Xenopus tropicalis: one gene and its partner. The protein of the gene in region 1 purifies or fractionates together with the protein of each later gene. This does not show direct contact. Links are inferred from orthologs where the notes say so. Each region holds a gene or a part of one and is shown in the gene's direction. Other genes may lie near its edges.

What was found. Proteins that work in one complex are often made in the same cells at the same time.
Region 2: the proteins of chchd4 (region 1) and tor1aip1 purify together in Homo sapiens (co-immunoprecipitation; 3 studies listed by BioGRID and IntAct, with this or other methods). This does not show direct contact. The link is inferred for Xenopus tropicalis from reciprocal best matches to the Homo sapiens genes CHCHD4 and TOR1AIP1.

What each region holds. Positions count from the first base shown.
Region 1 is NC_030680.2:132,948,642-132,952,962, forward strand, and holds the start of chchd4 (mitochondrial intermembrane space import and assembly protein 40), read left to right. Parts: upstream 1-1,417; 5' UTR 1,418-1,474; coding exon 1,475-1,496; intron 1,497-2,721; coding exon 2,722-2,820; intron 2,821-4,321. Other genes in the region: tmem43 (transmembrane protein 43), read right to left, coding at 1,080-1,091.
Region 2 is NC_030680.2:101,235,402-101,239,058, reverse strand, and holds part of tor1aip1 (torsin-1A-interacting protein 1), read left to right. Parts: intron 1-878; coding exon 879-935; intron 936-2,279; coding exon 2,280-3,076; 3' UTR 3,077-3,657. UniProt on the Homo sapiens protein: Required for nuclear membrane integrity. Induces TOR1A and TOR1B ATPase activity and is required for their location on the nuclear membrane. Binds to A- and B-type lamins. Possible role in membrane attachment and assembly of the nuclear lamina.

The sequences.
Region 1 (4,321 bases):
GCTCAATTTATTTTTCTATAAATATTTATTTAAACCTGATTATGCGCTGTTCTGAGGCCTTCTACCTGCATAGCTGCATTTATATTCAAATATGTTTCAGCATAGTACACAAGCTCGGCGTAACCAAACATTAACTTTGTAAAGAAATTGCTCAGACATAGTAGTATACGTGCTTTAATCAACAATACATGCCATGCAGCACATTTTGTGCTCTCAGTTCATAATTGGTCAGTACAGGTGATTTGAAGTACAAGCCCAATTAATAGTGACTATCAATGGCATCTTACAGCAGCCCTTTGGCATTGGCCAGAATGGACAAATTGCCAGTCCAGGACACAAAATGTGTCATATTCAGAGCTGTCAAACCCGGGAGATTGTTTCCCAGGGGCAGAGACAAACTCAATTGACCACCAATGAATTAAAAAACTTAAGGTAAATTCCACTGCCCCCAATGAGCTGACTGACTTATTAGCACATTAATTATTCATTTTAACTATTAATATGCCCTGCTTATTATAGAGGGACATCAGCTGTTTATGTTGGAAGCTATTTTACTGAATTATATAGTATCTCCTACATGAACTTTGCAGCGGGGGAACTTGTTCCTTACCCTGCAAGAAAAGCCATTTTTTTTAGTGTAGACTAGAGTCTGCTTAATAAAGTACGTTAGGGGCGCAAGCACTATGAAGTGCTGGACATTAACAAACTTTTTTTAAACTCTTTATTTAAGTTTTCAAGATTGCATCAAAATCTAGCATTAGTACAATACCAATACTGAGCTTTACTTATAATGTTTACAAGATTTTTTTTTTTTCAACATCATGAACCAGGGGGAAAGGGAAAGGGAAAAAGGGAAACGTAAATAAATGTTATTAATAATAATAATAATAATAATAAATAAAAGGATAATGTGATGAGAACAATGTGCAATAGGCTAGGAGTCTTAATTGGCATTAACACAATTTTTTAGCCCTACAGTTATTACTGCATTTGTTTCACACTATAAAACATATGGTGGCACCTTGGGGTTACTATTACAGTAATGTTACAGGATGTATATGGAAATGAAAGTCACTTACATGTCCCTTCATCCTGGCTGCCTTAGGATGATAAACTTTTCCGCAGACGCTCTCTACTTTATCTCCTACCAGAACTTCTTGCTACAAAGTTGCCTCCCTGACACGTCAGTACATTCTGCGCATGCGTAGCTGGCCTTCCGCGCAGTGTCACGGGAAATGTAGTTTTTAACGCCTCCCTGGTTCTATTCAGTGGCGCTTATTGTCAGTAATATCCTATGAGCTATACTACGCATGGAGACTAGGGTGGAATTGGTGAGGGTGGAGGTTATGAATTACTGTCAGGCAGCTAGGAGGGCAGGCCTATGTGCGGGGTCCTCTGTGTGAGTCGCGCAGTGTGACGTGATTGGTGTGCGCAGGCGGTGCTGTGCCGGGCGCCGTGTTGTGGAGCTGCAGCCATGTCCTACTGCAGGCAGGAAGGTGAGTGGGAATGTGCCCGGGGTACGGGGTGGGAGCCGAGCTGCCTGTGTCACAGGGGGACTGGGCCAGAGAAGAGCTGCAATGGGGGCAGCCTGGCAGTAAGGAGAACTGGAGGGGAGAGAGGCCGCACAAAGTGACAGAGGGCACAGGGACACAGGGGCTGGGCATGGAACCGAACCCTGAGGGTTATACAAGGGAAAACCTGGCCTCGGAGTTCCTTAAAGGGACAGTATCCCCTGCTAAGGCTCTCTGCTGCCTGCAATGAGTTCGCTATTTGCAAGGTCATTGGGAACTTATGTCTGTTTGAGCCTCTTAGTGGGGATCTAAACCCAAGGAAATGGATTACTGGAAACTTACCCAGGGTCCTCCTCTGAACTCTTTAGCATTTAACAGTCATTTTCTCTACGTCTGGGCTCATTAGATCAATGTCAGCAACCCAGGGGGCAGTTTAACTATGAAGGCATGGCATAGGCATACATTAGCTTTCTATTTGGATATAGATCCCTTTTAATTGTATAAAGCATGTGTTATTTATTGCAGAATTCTGCTTCTAAAATCAGGGCAAAGGGTTTATGTCTATGTATGTATGTATAACTTTATTTATAAAGCGCCACAAGGGTATGCAGCGCTGTACAATCTTACAATATACAGAATTACACACAGGGAGGACAAGTGATATAATAAATAAATACAATAAATATATATAAATGCACAGGGAATAAGTGCCATGTGGTATGAGACACAGTAGGAAGGAGGTCCCTGCTCCGTAGAGCTTACAATCTAACATACAGGCACAAACTGGAAGGTTAGAGTGCACCAGGTATGGGCATTGTAATATTCAATGTAAAAGTGTGATTGCTATTCTATGTATTTGTACAATATATATATTTATATCAAACCAATTATTGCTGAAATGTCAAATAATAGACTGCAGTTGTGTTATACTGATTGGTCTGTGTTCATTTTTGAAGGCAATTAAACTTTTTTATATGGTATTTACTGTAACCCTGCATTTATTTCATTAGTACAATGGCAAGAATACCATTGCTAGATATTTTAGCACATAAACACTTGCCTTCCTGCAGCAACTTACAAAGCAACTTTAATTTCCTAATACCAAACAATGTGCAGATATCATAGCATAGTAACTATTTTAATTTACAGTTCCCAAATAGAATGGATTGTTGTGATTCTAAAGCCTAATTGTTTCTCATGTACGTTTCAGGAAAGGACAAAATCATTTTTGTAACCAAGGAGGACCATGAAACTCCCAGTAGCGCCGAGCTGATCGCAGATGATCCAAATGACCCTTATGAGGACCATGGTCAGTAAGAGCCAGAGTGTGAGCTGTGTAATAATGCTTGAGCTATAGATAGTAGTGTGTTGCCTGCACTTTACATCAGCTGAGTCTTTGTTCTACAACAACTGCAAGGTCATAGGTGCAAAAGATAATTTTAGAAGCTTTAAGACTTTTCACATAAATCGCCATCATTTCTGATGGGAGCTACATCATGAGTGCAACAGTGGTATAAAAAAAATATTGTCTTATGGAAATCAGTTTGTATTAGATTTCCATGTCATTCTTTAGAGATGAATGGGCGTTTAATTCTTTTATTGTTTTTTATGGGCTATCGGTCATGCTTACGCTGCTCATACTTATGCTGTGCTGGCTCCAACACTCTTGGGGTCTACTTCATGCCTACAGATCAACATATTAAAGGCAAAGTCACACTGTAGTTATCAATGTTAAACAACGAGTGATTTACTGGCATACTTAAAAAAGTATTATGTCTTAATCACTTGTATATTGAAGCACTGCAGTGGCTTCAGGTTGTTATTGCCTATTTTTGTCAGAGTATGAAGTTTAAAGTAATGTGGTGGGGTGCTAGCTCCCTCAGCTGGCCGGAGAGTGAACTGCAGCATCTTAAGAGCAAACAGCAGGCAAATAACATACTGCAAATAATCAATGCTGGTCTTTAAGGGGAGGTATCACAAGAAAAATAAGGAACTTGATGGATATAATCAATTAAAATAATGTACTGTATCTGAAAAGTTACTGTTCACTCTCCCCCTCAGCAATCTGTCTTTATTCAGACAAGGGTCAGTCACATTTTGGTCGATAGGTCAAATATTTCCCTTTGCCTTGACAGTGTATAAAGCTAACTTTCCTTCAAAATAACCAACTCGGACACAAAGCTGCATGTAGAGACAGATTGCTAAAAGGAGGTTAGTGAAGAGTAACTTGATTATTTCAGAGAGGTACATGATTTTACTTGATCATATTCACAAAGTTATTGTTATTGCTTCACATGATTCATCAATATAGTCTCAAAGAAGGAAAAAAAAGGTTATGTTTTAATTAATACTTATAAAACTACCAATTACCTTAGAATTCTATTGTTGTCTCCATTTTAAACCATGAATGTTAAACTAGCCCTTCACTTGCTGATTTTTTTTAATGCTATTTTCACTAATAGGGATTGTTGGCCAATCATGTTTTGTCTTTTAGGCAATGAATACTATTGTACATGATATTGAATTCTGATTCTCCAGTATAATTGCTTTGGGGGCTGACACCCACAGATCTACTGCCATTTTTTTCTAAAGCATTCATTTGGTTGTTTTTGTTTTCCCCCAACCTTTATAAAGTCCATAACAATACAGCACTCAAGCTCAGTGTATTCTTTTATTATTTGCTGCCTCTTGTTTCTATTCAGTATCTGGATGTGGTTCTCATACAGGTGGCCGATGGTTCCAAACAGTTAAATGTGGAAAGGCTGTGGATCCAAACTAGATTAACTGAGCATGCAGTGTCAGCGAATAAC
Region 2 (3,657 bases), about 32 Mb from region 1:
GGTTCTTAGATTAATCCAAAATCATAAGGGACATCTTATGAGTCCAAAGATTTTATTGGCCATTAGTAAGTTTAAAAGTTAGTCTTTGGTAAGTTTAAAAGTTAGTCTTGATAATTAATCAGATTACACAATGGTTTGTATGGCATAAGCCTTATTGAAAACAACACACCGGATGATAGTAAAGCTGGCCATACACCCACCATAATAATCATGTGAAACAAAGTTTTGTACAATTTTTGGACCGTTTGGGGCCCTGAATTATCGGCCTGACAATTTTTGTACCATGACAATCGGTCATTTAGTTGATCAAACAGGTTATGTCGGAAAATTATCATTTTTTTGATGACTGTATCCATTGGTGACCTACAATGTATTTCCGGGACATAACTTTGGCGTGATTGTTGTCTGGCAATTAATGGCCAAAGCATTGTCAGATTAGTTATTTTTAGGATTTTAATGCAACAATTTCTGTCTGGATGTTAGTTTTAGATCATTGCATTAAAATGTACAATCTGGACATGTATGGCTTAACAGTAAATTGCTAACCAACTCAAGGCCATTCAGGTGCTTTATATATTCTGTTAGTGTACACAGTTTATTAAAAAAATGAACACAAAGTAGCATATTTTACTATAAGTAATTCTAGAGCAACTGGACTTGTTGAGTAATCATTGAAGACTGAAGTTGAACTAAAGAAGCTGCTTGATGAGTAGTGAAATGTCTTCAATAATTACTCAACAAGTCCAGTTGCTTTATATTTACTAATACTAGATATACCATGACCTGGATGAATAAAAACCTTCATAGTCATAGCATATTTTAGCTGTTTTTTTAACATTTTGACTTGTGTACTTATTTTTCATATAAATTCATTGCAGACCACAAAAAAGCTGAGAAGAGAAACCAGACAGACAAAAAAGACCTGTCTTCTGACGGTATAGTATTTATCTGTTACGATCTTGACATATTATATGTTTCTGTTATGGCATCTATTTAAACACAGTGTTAATCATTGCACAGCATGAGGATAAGGATACATTTAAAAATTACTTATTTTCAAATAAGTAATTTTCCTATAATCATGTGGATTAATACCCACAATCTGTCCTAACCAAAAGGGAGAACATGTTTTTTACAAAAAGCATCAGTTAATTGCGGTCCTCCAGTAGAAACATGTACCGAAATCTGTTTTTCACACTTGTTTTAATATGAAATTTGACATGAGGCTAACCATTGTGTTAGTGCCCTCAGCCATCTGAGTTGTGCTCTAATAAACTTCAGTATCTCTTTACTGCTACATATTGCATGTTAAGGTGGCCATACATGGGCAGATTTCAGCTGCCAATATTGGTCCTTCAGACATTTGGCTGCTTATCTGCCTGTGTATCGGCACCTCTGATGGGCCTACCCGACCGATATCTGGTCTAAAATTGGCTAGATCTCAATCGGACAGGTTTGATTTTACCATTGGATCAGGGACTACATTGACTCGTTGATCTGGTCCGGCATTTTCATTTTATAAAAGGGCCTATTTCATTTTATAAAAGATGATTCACTCATCAAATGTGTGGCCACTTTAAGAGTGATATCGCCCCCCCATATCAAGAGAACAATGGGGAAGTAATAAGATAACAGTTCACTGACACCTCTGCTGAAGGAAGAACTGATAGCACATCCATGTTTCTTTGCTACTGTCACTGCTTTACTTTGGGCTAATAGCTCTGCTGGTAGAGAAGCTGACACATGGGGCAATGTGCAAAACTACCAATACTGCCCTTTCATTCACTTTAGTTTGATGGCACACTGGGAGAAAGTTGCCCACAGGAAATCTGCTCTACCCATCTCCCCATTATGCAGGGGGTTTATCAGTGCACTGGTAGATTTAATTATGTACCTCACAAGAACCAAACATGAAGTTTTAGTTTTCCTGTTTGACCTGTTTAGCTCAAGAAATAAAAAATACCATACATTTTTTATGATTAATATAATAAGCAAAATTTTTTGCACAAACCTTATTTATTGCACTCATGTAGAACAAAGGGGTTTACTGTCTCTTTTAAACCCCCTTCTGCCTCCAGACCCAGAAGTGCTGCAGAATGTAGAATCTACAGTTGGTATCACTTTAGTACTTAGTACATAGTCTACAGTCTGTGACTGTTAAACAGATGTGTATGAAAGTTATAAAACACAGCAACATAAAACACAGCTATAGTTTCTCTCTAATGATACCTAATATTGTTATTGCAAATAACTTATATATTTGTATTTTTCTTTTGCAGACACGTCATGGTTTTCCAGCGTAATTAAAAACATTTTCCTTATTGTCACACTGGCAGTTGCTGTATTTTTGGCTGCCCAGTATAGCCAGTATGGCGCTTCCAGGAGTAGGAATAATAGTAATGTCCTACAACAGTTCCAGAATCACTTTAATGCACTGAAGTCATCTTATGCTAGTCAGTCTGAAGATCTATGGAAAAGAAGTAGGCGTTCTTTAGAGCTACACCTTAATAAGTCCGAGGCCAACACACAGCCTGCCATCATTTTGCTGACTGCAGCCCGTGATGGAAAGAATATACTTCAGTGCTTAAGCAACCAACTGGCAAGGGTGTATTCGGCCTCTCGTAACAACAGCTATATGGTTATTTCAGGTGCAAACAAAACTTTCCATAACAGTGAGAGTGCTAAACTGGCAATAGATAATATTTTAACTGCTGGCTTCCAAGATACATCTTCAGCAGCAGTTCTGCACCAGATTGAATCATTGCACCCTGGTGCACTTCTCATTCTGTACAAATATTGTGACCATGAGAATGCTGCCTTCAAAAATGTGGCACTAGTATTGACTGTGCTTCTCGAAGATTCAGAACTGGAACCACAACTGTCTCTTACGGAAATTGAGGAAAAAGTCAGAGATTTTATAAATGAGAAGATGGTTTCTTCAAAGAACGCAGAATCACACAGTGAGATGGATGTTGACAAACTAAGTGGCGTGTGGAGTCGAATCTCTCACACAGTGCTCCCTGTTTACCCAGAGGATAACTTTGCAGACTGTGGGGGAACAGAGCAGGGGTTATGAAAGAATAAGTCTATGTTTTACTGGACTATATGTGCTTCTATTATTTATCTTTGCCTGTAAATTTTGTAACTGCTAATTTACATCCTTCATTCCGTCTTTCAGATTATTTGAAGGTTTAGGCCATGGGCACACAGAACGTTTCCTCCACTTCTCTCAGGCAGTGGGAGCTCCCTCATGCAGTACCATTTATCTCCACTGAAAAGTACAGCTTCTGAATGCATGCAGTACACAGAGCAGAAGACGGCTCAAAAATGCCTGCTTTCGCTCTGTGTAGCTGCTCTGAGGAGAAAGCTGTCCTGTCAGTGCAGCTACACAGAGCTGCATAAGGAAGCAGATCCGCTTCTCTCAGCCTGCAGGAAAAACCCAGTCTGACAGAAGTGGAGGAAACACTGTGTGTACCTGGGGCCTAAGGCTGTACATAGGCATTCATAAATGTAAGCCAAACATCAGCCGACAAAATCTTGCACATTAAAACAAGTGCTTGCAGGCAGTATCCATATGCATCATTATGATCATTATGGTTTTCAGTGATTTGGTGACACGTTTCCTGTATGCCATAGCCCTAAGTGGCAGAAAACAAG